2 linked regions of the Mus musculus genome follow. The protein of the gene in region 2 purifies or fractionates together with the protein of the main gene of each other region. This does not show direct contact. Links are inferred from orthologs where the notes say so. Each region holds a gene or a part of one and is shown on either strand. Other genes may lie near its edges. The genes, in order: Cdc37 and Akt3.

Region 1 (3,919 bases), on a different chromosome or scaffold from region 2:
CCAAGAACCCACATGTAAGGAGAAAGTGGACTCTATCAAGTTATCCTTTGACTGCCACAAGGATACCTCGGCACACATACATAAGAATTAACACACACAAAAAAATTAAGATGTAACTTAAACAAAGAGTATAAGACACACAGGTATATGGGTATAGAAGTTTTAATTTGGGGAGCAGGTTAGGCCATTGTCTCTTTACTGCTGCGACAGAGTTGGAACCCAGTACCTCTTGCACGCTAGAGAAGTACTCTACCACTGAACCACACATCCAGGCCACCCTCACATCTTGGTAGTATGCTACAGGCCTGCAGGTAATGATGGCACAAGGGAGGGGCAAGAGCATGGCTTGCTCACACTTGGGGTTCTAAGGTCTCAATCTGGGGCGTCTGTTTTGGAGAGATGTAAAACTGCAGAGGACTGTATTTTATTTGCTTGGTGGTTGACAGGATCCCCTGTAGCCTGTGCCAGCCTCACACTTACCGTGGCTGACGACTTTGAACTTCTGACCCTCCTGCTTCCCTCTCCCCAGTGCTCAGACTACAGGCCTGCCCCACCATGGCTAGTTTTTAAGCAGTGCTAGAGATGGAGCCCAAGGCAATGCCATACAACTGAACTCCAGCCCATTTGGTTTTTGATATTGTCTCATGTAGTCCAGGCTAGCCTAGAATTTGCCCTATATCGAGGACTGACTCTGAATCCCAGATCCTCCTTCCTCGTCCTCCTCCTAAGACCTGAGTTTACAGGTGTGCTACCATGCTCAGAAAGTAAGGTTATGTGGGAACATTATCTGGGAGGTCCAGAGTTAACTAGGATGCTCTGAACCCTGGAGAGAGACAGATGAAGCTGGAGGGAACGGGCAGGTAGGACAGGACAGGCTTGGTTTTCTGGGTTGGTGAGCTGTCTTTTCTTTCTCTTCCTCCCCTCCCCCCTCTCTTTATCCTACCCGACTCCCGGCCCCATCCCTCCAGACAGGGTTTCTCTGTGTAGCCCTAGCTAGCTGTAGAACTCTCTGTAGACCAGGTTGGCCTTGAACTCACAGGCCTGCCTGCCTCTGCCCCCTGAGAGCTAGGATTAAAAATGTGTGTCATCATCATCTGGCTCCTGGTTTGGTGAATTTTCAAAGATGGCTACAGTTCATATAGGAGCCAAGGTGGGAAGGAGAGGGTCTACTTACTATACTAGAAGGAGCAGAGGTTCTAACAGGAAGTTAGGTGGGTGGGGTTTCCTGGAGTAACAGGAAATAAGAGTCTACAGGAGGTGAGAATAAGGAGAGCCACTGGAACTGAATGATGGGCAAGAGTGGAGATGGAGGTCAAATACAGAGGATAAGGGGGCTCTACAGGTATGTCCCATGTGGGACTCAAGTCTATAACCCAGGGAAAGGGATCCTGGACTGGGGAATCCCAGCTGCAAGCTAAGATTGACAGTTAAATTAAGGGCTCATTTAGTTTGGAAGTTGGGGGGGGAGGGGGTCGTCTCTGGGCCTTTAATAGAAATTCATGCCTAAGATCCTGGGAAATAGATGCCATAGTCAGAAGTTTTGTGGCTCCAGACTCTAAGTAGTGAGGAGAGGCAGAAGGGAGACGTGCAATATGAAGTGGGTGCGTGGCTGGGCTATGAGATCACCTAACAGAACCTGGGGTCCAGACTCTGAGGAAGAACAGAAGGTTCTGCACAGGATAGTGGGGACCCTACACACAAGGGTCAGCTTGGGGATGGGGAGAGGCAAGACTCTGACTAAAGTATTACCAACTGATAAAATGGCTCAGAGTGTAAAGGTGCTTGTGGCAACGTGGGGCGACTGGAGTTCCACAGCCAGTTCCAACATGGTGAAAAGAGAGGCCCAACTTCTACAAGTTATCCTGTGATCACCATAGGCATGCTGTGCCACGTGCACACGGGAACACACACAATAAATAAACTTACAAACAGAAGAGAACCATAGCACAGAGAGAACGCCTGGAGATACAGGTCAAGAATTACGGTGAAGAAGCCAGGAGTCCTGGGATGGAATTAAAAAGTCCGGCCCTGCATGAAGGCACATGTCTCTAATCCCAGTACTGGGAAGGCAGAGGCAGGAGGATCACTGTGAGTTAGAAACCAGCCTGTTCTACACAGCAAGTTCTAGGCCAGGGAAGGTTACACAGTGAAATTTTGTTTCAAAAAAAAAAAAAAAGAAAAAGAAAAGAAAAGAAAGAGAAAAGTCTAGATTGTGGAGCAGGCGGCTCCAGATGTCAATAACTAAGGTCTCCCCCGCCCCCACGCCAGGTGGCCTGGGGAAGAGGTCAGAACTCTAGAGCGGGGGGTCCCGGGAGTGGGGGGGAAGGGGATGAGCGCGCACAGCCCCACCTGGTGCCGCCAGCGGAAGAGGCTGGCAGTGTCTATGTTGGGGTGCGTCTCGTCCTCATCGTCCGACACCTCGATGTGATCCCAAACGCTGTAGTCCACCATCTTCGCTTCGGAGGCCCGGACTGGCTCCCGGGGCTCCACACGGCCGGGCGCTGAACAGGGACCCACAAGGGCTAGAGAGTCCGCTCGGCGAGCCCCGCCCCTTCCGCTTCCGCCCAGGGCGCCGCGCAGGACGGCCCCGCCCCAGCGTCGGCGCGGGACGTTACGTCCTTAGCAACGGGAGTCGGCGGCATTGGCAACCGGAGGTCTTCTTTAAAGGGCCAGGAGTATGTGGTGAGGCCTTCTGGAAGTTCCCGCCGAAACCAGACTGACCATCCTTTAGAAACAAAAGGTTAGTCGCGTTGGGCGTGGTGGCCCACGGTAATCCAAGTACGCTAGAGGCAAAAGCAGGTGGCTCTCCAGGAGTTCTAGTCCAGCCAGGGCTACATATTGACACTGTCAAAAAGTCAAAATTGGCTGGGCGGTAGTGGCGCTATGCCAGTACTCCGGAGGCAGAGGCCGGCGGATCGAGGCCAGCCTAGCCTACAGAGTAATTTTAGGGACGGTCAGGGTTGTTATACAAACAACACTCTAAAAAAAAAAAGTCAACATTGCATACACTAGCAAGATTTTATCGAAAGGACCCAGATGTAGCTGTCTCTTGTGAGACTATGCCGGGGCCTAGCAAACACAGAAGTGGATGCTCACAGCCAGCTAATGGATGGATCACAGGGCTCCCAATAGAGGAGCTAGAGAAAGTACCCAAGGAGCTAAAGGGATCTGCAACCCTATAGGTGGAACAACATTATGAACTAACCAGTACCCCGGAGCTCTTGATTCTAGCTGCATATGTATCAAAAGATGGCCTAGTCGGCCATCACTGGAAAGAGAGGCCCATTGGACACGCAAACTTTATATGCCCCAGTACAGGGGAACGCCAGGGCCAAAAAGGGGGAGTGGGTGGGTAGGGGAGTGGGGGTGGGTGGGTATGGGGGACTTTTGGTATAGCATTGGAAATGTAAATGAGCTAAATACCTAATAAAAAATGGAAAAAAAAAAGTCAAAATTGAGGCTGGAAAGTTGGCTCAATAGTTTGGAGACTGGCTGGTCTTCCAGAGCACCCGGATTCTGTTCCCAACACCTACATGGCCACTCACACCCATCTGTAAGTCCAACCCAGGATATATATATTATGTCCCCATTTGGCCTTTGACTACACCAGGCATGCATGTGGTGGACAGATATACTTGCAGACAAAACATTAATATACAATTTGTTTTTTTTAATCATGTTTGCCCTTAATTCCCACCCCACCCCCACCCCCACCAGAGTCTCACTGTATATAAGACAGCTCTGGCTGTCTTGGAATTCACTATGTAGACCAGGCTGACTTCAAACTAACAGATCTTTCTACCTCTTCTCCCCAGTGCTGGGGCTAAAGGTGTGCCCCACTACACCAGATCTGCCCTTAAATTTTAAAAAATATTTATTTGTTTGTTTGTTTGTTTGTTTGTTTTGAGACAGAATTACT
Region 2 (3,919 bases):
ATAAGAAAAGAAGTTCAAAAAAAAAATAGTCATTATATAAACTATAGAATACATGCTATTGAGAACTGAGGTGTGAAAAATCTCTTTTATATTTAGGGTACTATCATATCACTAACATTAAAGAATTATAATGTTATTCATTGCTTTTCAGATTCAACAAGTTTAACTACTATAAGCCTTGACAATATGTAATAAGCATTAATGATGGCACAATCCATGAAGGGAATGTTGGGAATTCAACATAGTTTACAAGAAGCAAATTTAGAAATAAAAGTTCTCAAAAGTGATGATCTAACATCAAAGTCTTAGCCGGAAACCCAACCCCACCCAAAAAAGGAGGGTGAATTGGTGAGCGGGGAGAGCAGGGTGAGCGGGGTGAGCAGGATAAGCCGGCCTTCAAAGGTATTTTTTTCATTTTCATAACAGAAACACTAGATTATGAGAAAATGGCTATCCGAAAATAAAGTATTGTATATTATATGCACAATTAGGATACTGATCAACAGAAGAAGAACCAGCTGAAGAGGTAAAGTACAGAAGGGTCTTTACATTTCATTTCATACATTTGAGTACTACTCACAATATGTTCAGATGGCTATTATTTTTCAATAAGCACGAACATGAATGCAGAAAGGCAGATACACGTTGGGGGAGGACCTCTGAACAACAAAATTTCTTATGTACCATTTTCTTTGTTTTCTATTATATATCTTATGAGCTAAACACTAAGCTTTCATCATGGTACTTCAGAAAAGATGTAATTTTACAGAATTAAGAACCACCCTAAGACCTTAGACAGACATGAGTATACAGAAAGGCAGATTCATTATTTCACTTGAGTCTTACAATGATCTTAGGATCAAATTTTAGGAAATAATAAAGGAAATTTTTAGAGGTTTAAGTGACTTGCCATTTCCTCTCCTTTGCTCCCCTCTAAAAAGGTGAAAGAATATAAACTAGTTAAGAAAGAAAACAAAAAACACAACACTAAAATCTGAAAATACTTTCCAAATACATGAGAGAATAAAGCAAAGGACAAATATAATGACACAAATGGTCAGTCACTTTGGAAAATAAATTGGCAGTTTTATAAATTTAAACAGGCACTTACCATATAACCTGCAATCTTATCCTAGGTTATTACCAATACAAATGGAAACATCATGTACTCAATGTTCATAAAAACTTTATTCACAATATCCAGAGACAAACCAAATTTCTACCAAGTATTAAAAAGACAAAGCCAGGAGTGGTAAAACATGCCTATAACCCCAGTTCTCAAGAGACCTAGACAGGAGAATCATCAAGTTGAATAACTACCTGAGCTACATAGTAAGTCTAACTGCAACTTGGGTATAAAGTGAGATTCTGTTTCAAAAAGAAAATTAGTTAAAAATAAACAAATAAATGAAGAATAGTATTTCCTGAAGTAGTTCTTCTTTTCACATAAACGACATGGATAAAGCAGTGAAGTGTGAGTAGGAAAGAAACTAGACACAAAAGACCATGGGTTTTATGAGTCCACTGAACTGAAATCTTTGAAAATCATAATTATAGTAAGAGACAACACATCAGGTGATTGCCAAAGTTGAAAGAGAAGCAGTGAACTAAAAGCAACATGGAAAGAACTTTTTAGAGTGATAGAAATGTTCTATTTTAGGCCTGTAGTGTTTGTTACATCACCACAAATGTACACCATAAAAAGGCACAACCCATTAAAAGGGTTTTTTGGAATATTTATTGTATGTAAATTATAACTTGATAAGGCCTATTTTAAAATTCCATTTAAAAACTGACAACAGCTCTTTAGCCTAAGCATTAACCAAAGATTTTCAAAGAAATGAAAGTCAGTGGTTAGAGGTAACTTTCAACTCTCAAATAGGGCCAAAAGGATTCCTCAGTCTACTGAATCTGGCCATGTACGTAGACAGGTATAATTGCTGAGCAACTAGCCTAAAGTCCAGATCTCTAATAAACATATAGATTAAGTAAGGAGGTGATCACTCACATTATAAACTAAATTTTATAGCAGTTATTTAATAATAAAAATAATGCCTTTATCAAAAAAGAGTGGACAGGAAATATACAGTAAAAGTAGATCATGTAAACAAAAAATATAAAATTAAACAAAAAAAATCACTGTCCACATTTGAATTTTTATATAAGAGCTTTAATTTACCTAATTTATGGGTCTGTTTAGTCTAACAGTTTAAATGTAAGCCCTCGCCTTACTATATTAATTCTTTATGCTACCATACAAATTTACACAGAGCCATATTTTTATCTAAATATCAATATATCATTTATAGACACAAGAGTTCATTTCTATGTTAAATTCTGTAAAGTCTGTTGAATCTGAAGACATTATAGAAAAATACATTACTAACATGCATGCATGCAAAAATCTAACGTCATAATTATAAACTACAAAAAAAAAAGAATTAGAAGGAAATCCCTAAATAAGCAGACTCCTAACATACATGGTAAAGTTTCTTTCAGCCCTATCAGACAGCACTTCCCACTTGATTCAACAGCGCCAGAGGAAAGACCAACTCTCAGCACCCACTCACAGCTCAGCACTTAACTTACCCCTCTTCTGAACCCAACCTTCTTTCACAATGGTAACATCGCTCATGATGGCTCCCCTCTGAGCCCCCCAACTTGGAGAAATGGTGCTTTGCAGGTCAGTTTTAGGGTTTGGATTCGCTGCTGCTGCTGCTGCTGCTGCTGCTGCTGCTGCTGCTGCTGCTGCTGCTGCTGCTGCCGCCCTTCCCACTCTCTAGTGATGACTCAGCCTGGAAGGAAGTATTGAAGAAAGAATTTCTTTTTTTTTTTTCCATTCTTGAACTCACATAGCAATAACAAACAACTAAGTCTTTGTAAATGTCTTCAATTGGCCTGACCGCACATAAAGTCTAGCTTCTCAAACATGGGGGGATTAATAAATGGTTCTATGAATACACTGCTCTGGTCTTGTGGCAGATGTTAAATGATAGTGAAATATTTAACTTAAGAGACTGAAATTAAATGTCCTAACAAAATAACTGTCAGATCTACAAATATACAGAAAGCACATTTTGTACTGTGTATTTGGGATGAAGGGGAGAAAGAATGAAAGTTGAGTGGCCCACATCCCTTTAATTTCAAAAATCATTATAGTTTTAATTGCTTTATTTTATGTAAAATACAATGTTGCAAGAAACTAACATTCATATAATCTGCCTTGTTCTAAAAATATTTTAGGTAAATTACATTAAGTATACAACATTATTTCCTTGGGTAGATACAAAAAGTAGAACAAAGGAAATATAAAAGTAGAAAAGACATGCCAAAATTGTTCATCTGTCATTCTCTGATAATCTTTACAACTCTGTTAGGACACTCGGCCTTCATTTCACAGAACTGTGAGCCTGGGGCTCAAAGAGAATAACTAATTGCTAGATTTCAAGGTAGTAAGCTGTAGAGCCAAAATCTGAATTTGGAGTACCTCACTCCTAAATTGGCACTCTTCATTTCAAAACTCTACTTGTGAAAGTCAAAAATTTGGAATGAAATGTTTTAGGAAAACTGCTAATTCAAAACCATGATAGGTTTCAGTATTAATGTCTGTAATACAAAAAAGACGAGAGCTGCTGAGAAGAAAACAGTGTTTCCTAAGATATTAACCAGAAGTTTATCCCCTAGGTCTTTACATGATAACTTAGTAAAAGGTTTCTTCAAGGCATCCTTACATAGAGCAATAAGCTTAATGAACTGCACTATTATTGTCCCTACCAATCTAAGAGGGGAAATGTTGCCACAGAACTTTGTGAAAGTGCTTCCACATTTGCAAAAATATGGGCCAGATAACCAGTCTTAAGTGACACACAACATAAACTTTAAGTAAACAGAAAAAAAAAATAGGTACATAGACTAATTG

Evidence for each region.
Region 1: the proteins of Akt3 (region 2) and Cdc37 purify together in Homo sapiens (co-immunoprecipitation; 3 studies listed by BioGRID and IntAct, counting the BioPlex papers as one, with this or other methods). This does not show direct contact. The link is inferred for Mus musculus from reciprocal best matches to the Homo sapiens genes AKT3 and CDC37.

Annotation. Positions count from the first base shown.
Region 1 is NC_000075.6:21,147,407-21,151,325, forward strand, and holds the start of Cdc37 (hsp90 co-chaperone Cdc37), read right to left. Parts: upstream 2,529-3,919; 5' UTR 2,452-2,528; coding exon 2,350-2,451; intron 1-2,349. UniProt on the Homo sapiens protein: Co-chaperone that binds to numerous kinases and promotes their interaction with the Hsp90 complex, resulting in stabilization and promotion of their activity. Inhibits HSP90AA1 ATPase activity.
Region 2 is NC_000067.6:177,246,087-177,250,005, forward strand, and holds the start of Akt3 (RAC-gamma serine/threonine-protein kinase), read right to left. Parts: upstream 2,682-3,919; 5' UTR 2,636-2,681; coding exon 2,590-2,635; intron 1-2,589. UniProt on the Homo sapiens protein: AKT3 is one of 3 closely related serine/threonine-protein kinases (AKT1, AKT2 and AKT3) called the AKT kinase, and which regulate many processes including metabolism, proliferation, cell survival, growth and angiogenesis.